Linked DNA regions of Canis lupus familiaris. The protein of the gene in region 2 purifies or fractionates together with the protein of the main gene of each other region. This does not show direct contact. Links are inferred from orthologs where the notes say so. Each region holds a gene or a part of one and is shown on either strand. Other genes may lie near its edges. The genes, in order: LRP6 and ETV6.

The links.
Region 1: the proteins of ETV6 (region 2) and LRP6 purify together in Homo sapiens (affinity purification with mass spectrometry; 3 studies listed by BioGRID and IntAct, counting the BioPlex papers as one, with this or other methods). This does not show direct contact. The link is inferred for Canis lupus familiaris from reciprocal best matches to the Homo sapiens genes ETV6 and LRP6.

Annotation. Positions count from the first base shown.
Region 1 is NC_049248.1:12,055,235-12,059,057, forward strand, and holds part of LRP6 (low-density lipoprotein receptor-related protein 6), read right to left. Parts: intron 3,070-3,823; coding exon 2,843-3,069; intron 688-2,842; coding exon 503-687; intron 1-502. UniProt on the Homo sapiens protein: Component of the Wnt-Fzd-LRP5-LRP6 complex that triggers beta-catenin signaling through inducing aggregation of receptor-ligand complexes into ribosome-sized signalosomes.
Region 2 is NC_049248.1:11,816,812-11,820,634, reverse strand, and holds part of ETV6 (transcription factor ETV6), read right to left. Parts: intron 1,520-3,823; coding exon 1,377-1,519; intron 1-1,376. UniProt on the Homo sapiens protein: Transcriptional repressor; binds to the DNA sequence 5'-CCGGAAGT-3'. Plays a role in hematopoiesis and malignant transformation.

The DNA.
Region 1 (3,823 bases), about 240 kb from region 2:
ACATTTTATTTAAAAGCAATTTAAAAACCAGACCAGTCCTCTGAAATCAATCTATCTGCAGTCTGACCCCATGATTCAAACTTATATTCTTGCTATAAATCACTGAGTTTGTTAAAACTTCTACAAATGGTCTATTTTGACTACAGTCTTACTTTTCTCCATAAGGGTCTACAAGTTGAACTTTTCTTCTTCCTTCAATAAAAAGATGGAAATGAATATACTTATTTTACTAGTACAAAAAGTCACTTCAGGAATATCTAGGGAGTTATAAATTCTATTACAAGCCCAATAATAATAAAATTTCCACAAAATAAAGAGATGCGAATCCAAGTACCTGGCCCACTATTAACAATAATAAACAGGACACAATAAGAGACAGAGGAAGAATCTAGACATTCATATGATGTTCTATTAATAGTCCTAACCAATGGTAAAGAGCAGCCACAGATTTTTACACAGAAAGAACATACTATCTGCCTGAATAAAAAGAAGTACAGCTTACCAAGCATATTCGAAGATTCTATTAAGTTAGTGTCCAGGTCTGTCCAATAAAGCCTCCTTTTAGCATAATCAATAGTTAGGCCATTTGCCCGCCCCACATTTGGAACTAATGTAGTACGTTCACTTCCATCCATGGCAGCTCTGTCTATCTTAGGTTTTCCACCCCATTCAGTCCAATACATAAATCTAAATTCAAAACAACAGATATTTAGCATTTCACTTTTGATTATTTGGGAGAAAGGGTCATATTCATGCATAATAACTAAAGAAAATATACATTAAATCAAAGAAATTGATAAAACAGAATCATGGTTATAATTTTTTCAATTATTTTGGCACCCTCAACAAAATATTTTTTTTCTCATATCCTAAAAAGGAAGTGAGTCAGCTTTCTTTAGTCTTTCCAATGAATTTGTTCCATCCAAAACCCAGAAACTGGAAACAAACCAATGATTTCCTTACTGCAGCTCTTGCATTTATAAATCTAATATTCAAGATACCAAAAAATTAAAGCTCTAAGCTCAGAATCTGATTTCATTTCTGAATATTTTCTTTTTATATTTTTCCAAACACAAGTAATTTGAGTTTTCAAATTTTTAGACTTCTTTTTTGACTTGCATAATCACTCTCCCCAAAAACAAGTTGCAGGAGTACATCAAAGGTAAAACTTAATAGCCTTTAAATGAAGTTAAAAAGCAAAATTTGAAATGCATTTGGTCACACAGTGTAAGGATACATACTATATGTATAAAAGCAATGAATCACCCTTTATCAAGTCAGCTGGGCAGTGACACTACTACTATAATCCCTGTGAAATTTTAAAACGCTCTCTTGCTTTTGTTTTATTTTTTCAAGTTTTCCACATTATACTTAGAGCAGCCCCATAGTATAGGCTTTTTACAGATGTAAAGAGGCCAAAGCAATAAAAGAAATGTGAATGATCTCATTTCTTCAACTCAGTCACGTGGCAGAGTGAGAACTAGAAACTAATCCTTAGCTAAAGGCTTTTTCAATTAAACTAGTAACTAGTTCTGAGACATTCTGAATATGGGGACTAGGAAAGCACTTCACATGCCAACTCTCATCAAGTATCTGAGTACAGACATTTACTCATTAGCTTGTCAGCTGATGGCTGACTTGGTAACAATGCATGAACACACTTCTGAAAATTAAAATTAGTCCTGGGCTCACTCTGTATTCACATTTGTCAGGTGACAGGCATGTGCACACAAGAAGCAAGGAGAAACAACTGTGAGAGAAATGTCAGTTGCCATAAACTAGAGTCCTTAGTCTCAACTATTGAAGTTATCTATCTGGTAACTCATGCTTGGAATCAAGATCACCGTAATCCAATCACAACATGTCAGCACAAAGAACTTTCTTTGCTATGGCCTTCTAACTAGATGGTAACTAGCTGATAATGCAATTAATGTGATTTCAAAGAAACTTTTTAAACTACAGATATGGTAAATATGCTTATATGTTCTCATTGTTAACTTCTGCTTTTGAAAGTGGAATTATTCTTCAAATTTCAGATTTCTTAGCTGTTGGCTTTCTAAAACTTGCTAAATCATGTCAGAGGATCACTTATCCTTGAAACACAATGTCATGTTATAAATAAACAACTATTTATTTATTGAAAAGTTTACTATTTAATATCAAAGTTTCTCTAAGCTTCTAAACATGATCAAACTAATTGTCCATTTTGAATCAATGAATATTCTAAAATGGAGCTTTTTAAAATACAACTAATTCTTAGTATATGGAATTATTTCAGTGGGTTTTGGAATCTGGTTTAACCTGAGAGAGTATGCAAGCAAATGCAAACTTGATATCTTCAGAAAGGCTGTTTATTAGCATATAAGTATGCCGGGTAATTTAAAACACTAATCCATTTCACTAATCTTTCTCTACCTAATGTTAATAATGACAAAAGTAAAATTTAGCTAATAAGTAATTCTAAATCAGTGAAATCTCCACTAATGGGTTTTAAAGATTCTGTTTATTTTAGAGAGAGACAGTGAGTGCACAAGTGCAACCAGGGGGAGGGGGAGGGAGAAAAGAGAAAGAGAATCTCAAGCAGACTCCATGTTGAGCGCAGAGCCCAAAGTGGGGTTTGATCTCACAACCCTCAGATCATGACGTGAGCCAAAATCAAGAGTCAGACGCTTAACTGAATGAGCCACCCAGGTGCCCCTCAACTAATGGGTTTTAAAATAAAGCCTACTACCTATGGTTTAGTTATTAGAGTCCTAAATAAGCACTACTTAAGACATCAAAGATATAATGCATAACCAGGCCATGTATAGTTGCAAAAAATGCATGCATCAAAGTTGTTTACCCTTCAGCAGGGTCCAGTGCAAGAGCTCTGGGACTATCTAGGTCTTTCCACACCAAAACCTGTCGGTGCTGCCCGTCTAGCTTTGACACCTCAATTCGATTCGTTCCTGTGTCAGCCCAGTACAAGTTCTTTCCGAGCCAGTCTACTGCCATGCCTTCTGGGTAATCCAAGCCGAATTCTACCACATGTTCCAGTGCACTGCCATTCATAAAGGCTCTGCTGATGGTCTGCAAAAATAACAGTAACAACCGAATCACAAGGCTTAAGTACAAAACACCATCCAGAAAGAGTATTTGTTTTGGTTTTTGCTGGTTGGGAGGATTCAGAAGAGCCAGAGGTATAGTTTCTTAATTCACATATTTTACAAGCACAGAAAAAACCTGATGTCAATCTCTAATAAATTCAACTGTGACCTCAAGTTTTACTATCAAAGCCAGGGAGAAATTTTTGTAATTCTTAAGGATCAAAAATTTATTCCAGTAAGACAGTAGAATGATTTTGCCTTCAAAATCTATTAGTAATCTATTAGTAATCAAGTGAAAAAAAAGATATGACCAGAATGTTGTAGACTCATAACTGGTAGTCAGCTTCCTGAAGGTTCTTGAGAGTATGCCATGTCATCATGTCAATCTGAAAATATCCCAACAACTTTATCCATTATAAAATGTATATAACCATTATCACATTATTACCACTGTAACTCTGAATCCTCCCAAAATTTAAAGTAATAATAGCTGCTACTTCTTAGCAAGCATTGCCTTAAGTACTTTGTATACATTTATTTTCTCATTTAATCCTCAAAATAGCCCTGCAAGATAAGTATTATCTCCATTTTCAAGATGAGGAAATTTAGAAGGCCATACAATACAAGCCAAAATATATTTATTTACTTCATTTATTCACTCAATTAATAGATTTTACTGATCATTAGAATTCAACTCTAGCTCCAATACCCATGGTATTTGCAAATTAGACAAATTT
Region 2 (3,823 bases):
GGCCTGGATCTTGGTTCCTCATTTGTTTTATTTTTAGTAGGGATACAGATTTATTTATTTTAATATATTTTTGAGGGGGGAGACCCTTTGCTCTACTTTCTTTCCTTTTACTGAGTCGTAAAAACACGTAACAGGACATCCATCCTCTTAAACTTTTAAGCACATACTAGAGTGGTGTTAATTACAAGTACAATGTTGTATAGCAGATCTCTAGAGCTTCCTCATCTTGCTTATGGGGAAAACCTTATGCCCATTGATTAGTATATCCCCCTTGCCCCTGCTCCCCAGCCGCTGGTAATACCATTCCACTTTTTGATTCAATGAATTTGCCCACTTTAGATCCTTCCTGTGAATGGAAGCAGGCAGTATTTGTCTGTGATTGGCTTATTTCACTTGGCTTAATGTCCTCAAGATTCCTCCATGCTGTAGCATGTGACAGATGGGATTTCTTTCCTCTTTATTTTTTATTTTTTTTTTCTTCTTTTTTTTTCTTTTTTTTTTTCTTTCCTCTTTAAGGCTGAGTAATATTCCGCTGTATGTTACACTGTTGTTTCTTTATCCAGTCATCCATAACGGACATTTAGGATGTTTTACGTACTTTTTACATCTGTGGGCTTTCACAGTTTTCCTAACTGTAAAAGATTATATCAGGGCACCTTGGTGGCTCATGGTTGAGCGTCTGCCTTCAGCTCAGGGCATGATCCCAGGGTCCTGGAATCGAGTCCCACATCAACTCCCCACAGGGAGTCTGCTTCTCCTCTGCCTATGTCTCTGCCTCTCTCTCTCTGTCTCTCATGAATAAATAAATAAAATCTTTAAAAAAAATAATAAAAAAATAAAAGATTATATCCTGTAAGTTCCATTTCCTCTTCCCAGCATAGAAAAGCATAGGGCAAACAGTTCTTGCCTGTTTGCTTTTCAAGGGGATGTTGCAGAGTTCGAGTGTAAGCATTTCCATGTAGAAAGGGGCTGCTGTGGACATGGGAGTTTCTAACTGAGCAGAACAGAGGTGATGCTTCCCCAGCTTCCTCATGAGTCCCAGAGCTCCCCAGAGCTTCCCTGTTACCCTAGATCCTGAGGACATGTGAGTGTCAGGGCCAGGCCAAGGGGATGGGATGGAGGGCTGCTCTGAATGCAGCTCTTTCAGACCAGACGTTGTGAAGTGAAGTGGCACCTGGCATAAGTAACAAATGGAAAGTGGCATCTTTAATCATTTCCTTCTCTTTGCAACTGTCTAATTGCTCACCCCATGAGGAATAAACCAAATAATGAGGGGCACATGTAGGAGGCAGAAGCCAGGCAATTATCCTCCAACCTAGAGAGAAGGGCTTTACTTCGGCCCTCATTGGCAGAGTAAACAGCTGGTGCCCTTTTACCTTATGGTTTCCCCACAGTCGAGCCAGTCCATTGGGATCCACTATCCGGAATATTTTGGATTCTTTGTCCTCCCATCGGATGAAGTTTTCGTACCGGCTGTCAGAAAGCAACTGATAGACGTAATCCCAAAGCAGTCTACAGTCTACAGAGGCAAAGGGCAAGAAAACACTTTAGAATTAGGTTTCTTGTTGAGGCACCAAGAATCAGAATGAGAAAATCATCAAATAATCACTTCAGCCTACTGTGGACTGATGGTCAACTTTCTTATCTCACAGTGAGGAGACCAGATCCCAGAGAGACCGCAGATGGTACTGCAGAAGGGCGACCTTTGACCAAGGTCATGACCAATGACTTGAACTTGAGTGGAGTTCCCATGAAAGAGAGCAAGCCAAAAGAGGGGGTAAAACCAGGCCAGGGTCAGAGAGTCAAAGGGCGGGAAGAGAGCCCTAGTGCTCCAGGCAAGCGGCGTGGGATACTTGGTGGCCCTGTAAGATCACTCTGGTGTTGGAGGCTTTACGCACAAAGATGAGAAGACTGGGGCAGGCTATCAAGCGGCAGAAAAACAAGTGTGATGGGTGCACAGCTGCGGGAAAGAGAACTACGTGGTTTGCAGATGACTGGGAGTTGTGGCTAGCGTGGTTTTCAAGAGGGCAGATATTTTCTCATTACGGCTAATTTTGGAGTTCTTTAAAATTGTTTTTTTTATAATGAAATGAGGGTAGAAAGGAACTCAAGGCAAAAAAAAAAAAATAATTTTCCCCATTTGAAGGACTAATGTTCTATCACCTGGTCAGGCCACAAGCGTTTATTAAGTGAGTTAATACAGGCCAGGCATTGTGCTAGGCCTCCTTGGCTTTTGGTGGTGGGTTGGCATATTAAAAGAGAAGACACAGGCTGCACACCTTTCCCTTGTTCTAGTGCTTTCTGGATGTGCCCTAACGGTATGTGGTTTGCCCTCCAGCTTCCCTTGATAGGTGGGCGGAGGCAGACATGTCCTATCCAGGTGTGCTTTCTGGACCAGCCTCCAGATGAGAATAAGAGGCACTGGTTTCCAGGGGTTCACCGTTGATCGTGGCAGCCCCCAGCCAGAACTCCTGGCAGTGAATGATCAATCCCTGAATTCTATATATGCGCTTAGCACTTTACTTGCATCCTTTCTACTCCTCGGAGGCCCAAGGTGGCTGGGCTTTGAATTCCAGGTCTCAGGCACACAGTGCGCTGACTGCCTTCTGTTGGGTGAGGCTCGGCCCACCTGGGAGGGGAGTGTCTAACCGAGGCCTGGAATATTTTAGAGTCAACACATTCACCTCCCAGGAAAAGAAACACACACCCTTCCAAGGAGTATATTTACAAGGGGGAATTGAGTCAGGTCACCTTTGGCAAGCTTCTTAAATCTCTCTGAGTTCTCTTTCCTCATATTTGAAATGGGAATAATGTGTCCTTGACGGGATTACTGTATTAGTGATAGTGCGAGTGAAGGGAAAGTCATGAAGGTCACAACAAAATCACAACAGCAACGCCATTAACTGGGTGCTAGGGGCAGGCGCTGAGCTTGTGTTCCACAAGCATCGCTACACTTGACCCTGGTGACCCCCTGAGAGGCAGGTGCTGTTGCTACTCCTATTTTATGGACGAGGAAGCTGGGGCTTACCGGGTTTGGTAATTTACTCCGGGGGCACAGCTCAAGAGTGACCCACGTAGGACTGCAGCCTCTGCCCGGCTCTGAAGCCCGTGCTCCGCCTCCCTTCCTGATGTGATTTCTATTCCCAGAGAGGCTGGTTAACAGGTAGGTATTTGTAAAGTTTTAGGACTTCCCAGGGCGAGGTTTCACTCTGTGTAGTGCAATCGTGGTGAAAGCCAGCCTTTGCTCTGAATGGCAGAAGAACTGGCATAAAATGTGGCACTTTCAAGAAACTAACATGAAAATGGCCATAAATCTTCCTACGGGTAGCCTCCGATCCACCCCCCAGCCCACTGTCTGTGTCTAAACATTAACGGAATGTGTGAGTTACTGTGTTTTAGAACAGGACGAACTGTGCTCTTCTTGCAGCCCAGACATCGCGTACTCTGGGAGTTGAACCCCATTCTGGTGACAGAAGCAGCCGGCCACTTCTATTATCCCCTGCCAGCCAGACGGAGAGAGCAGGGAACCCCCAACCCTAGCACCACAAAGCACCTGGAGAAGTCAGTGTTACACTATCGCACAACTGAGAAGAATCTAGCTCATTTTTTTTTTTAAGATTTTATTTACTTATTCATAGAGACACAGAGAGAGAATGAGAGGCAGTGACACAGGCAGAGGGAGAAGCAGGCTCCATGCAGAGAGCCCGACGTGGGACTCGATCCAGGGTCTCCAGGATCACGCCTCGGGGTGCAGGTGGCGCTAAACTGCTGCGCCACCAGGGCTGCCCCGAATCTAGCTCAGTTTTAAGGCAACTGGTGCAGG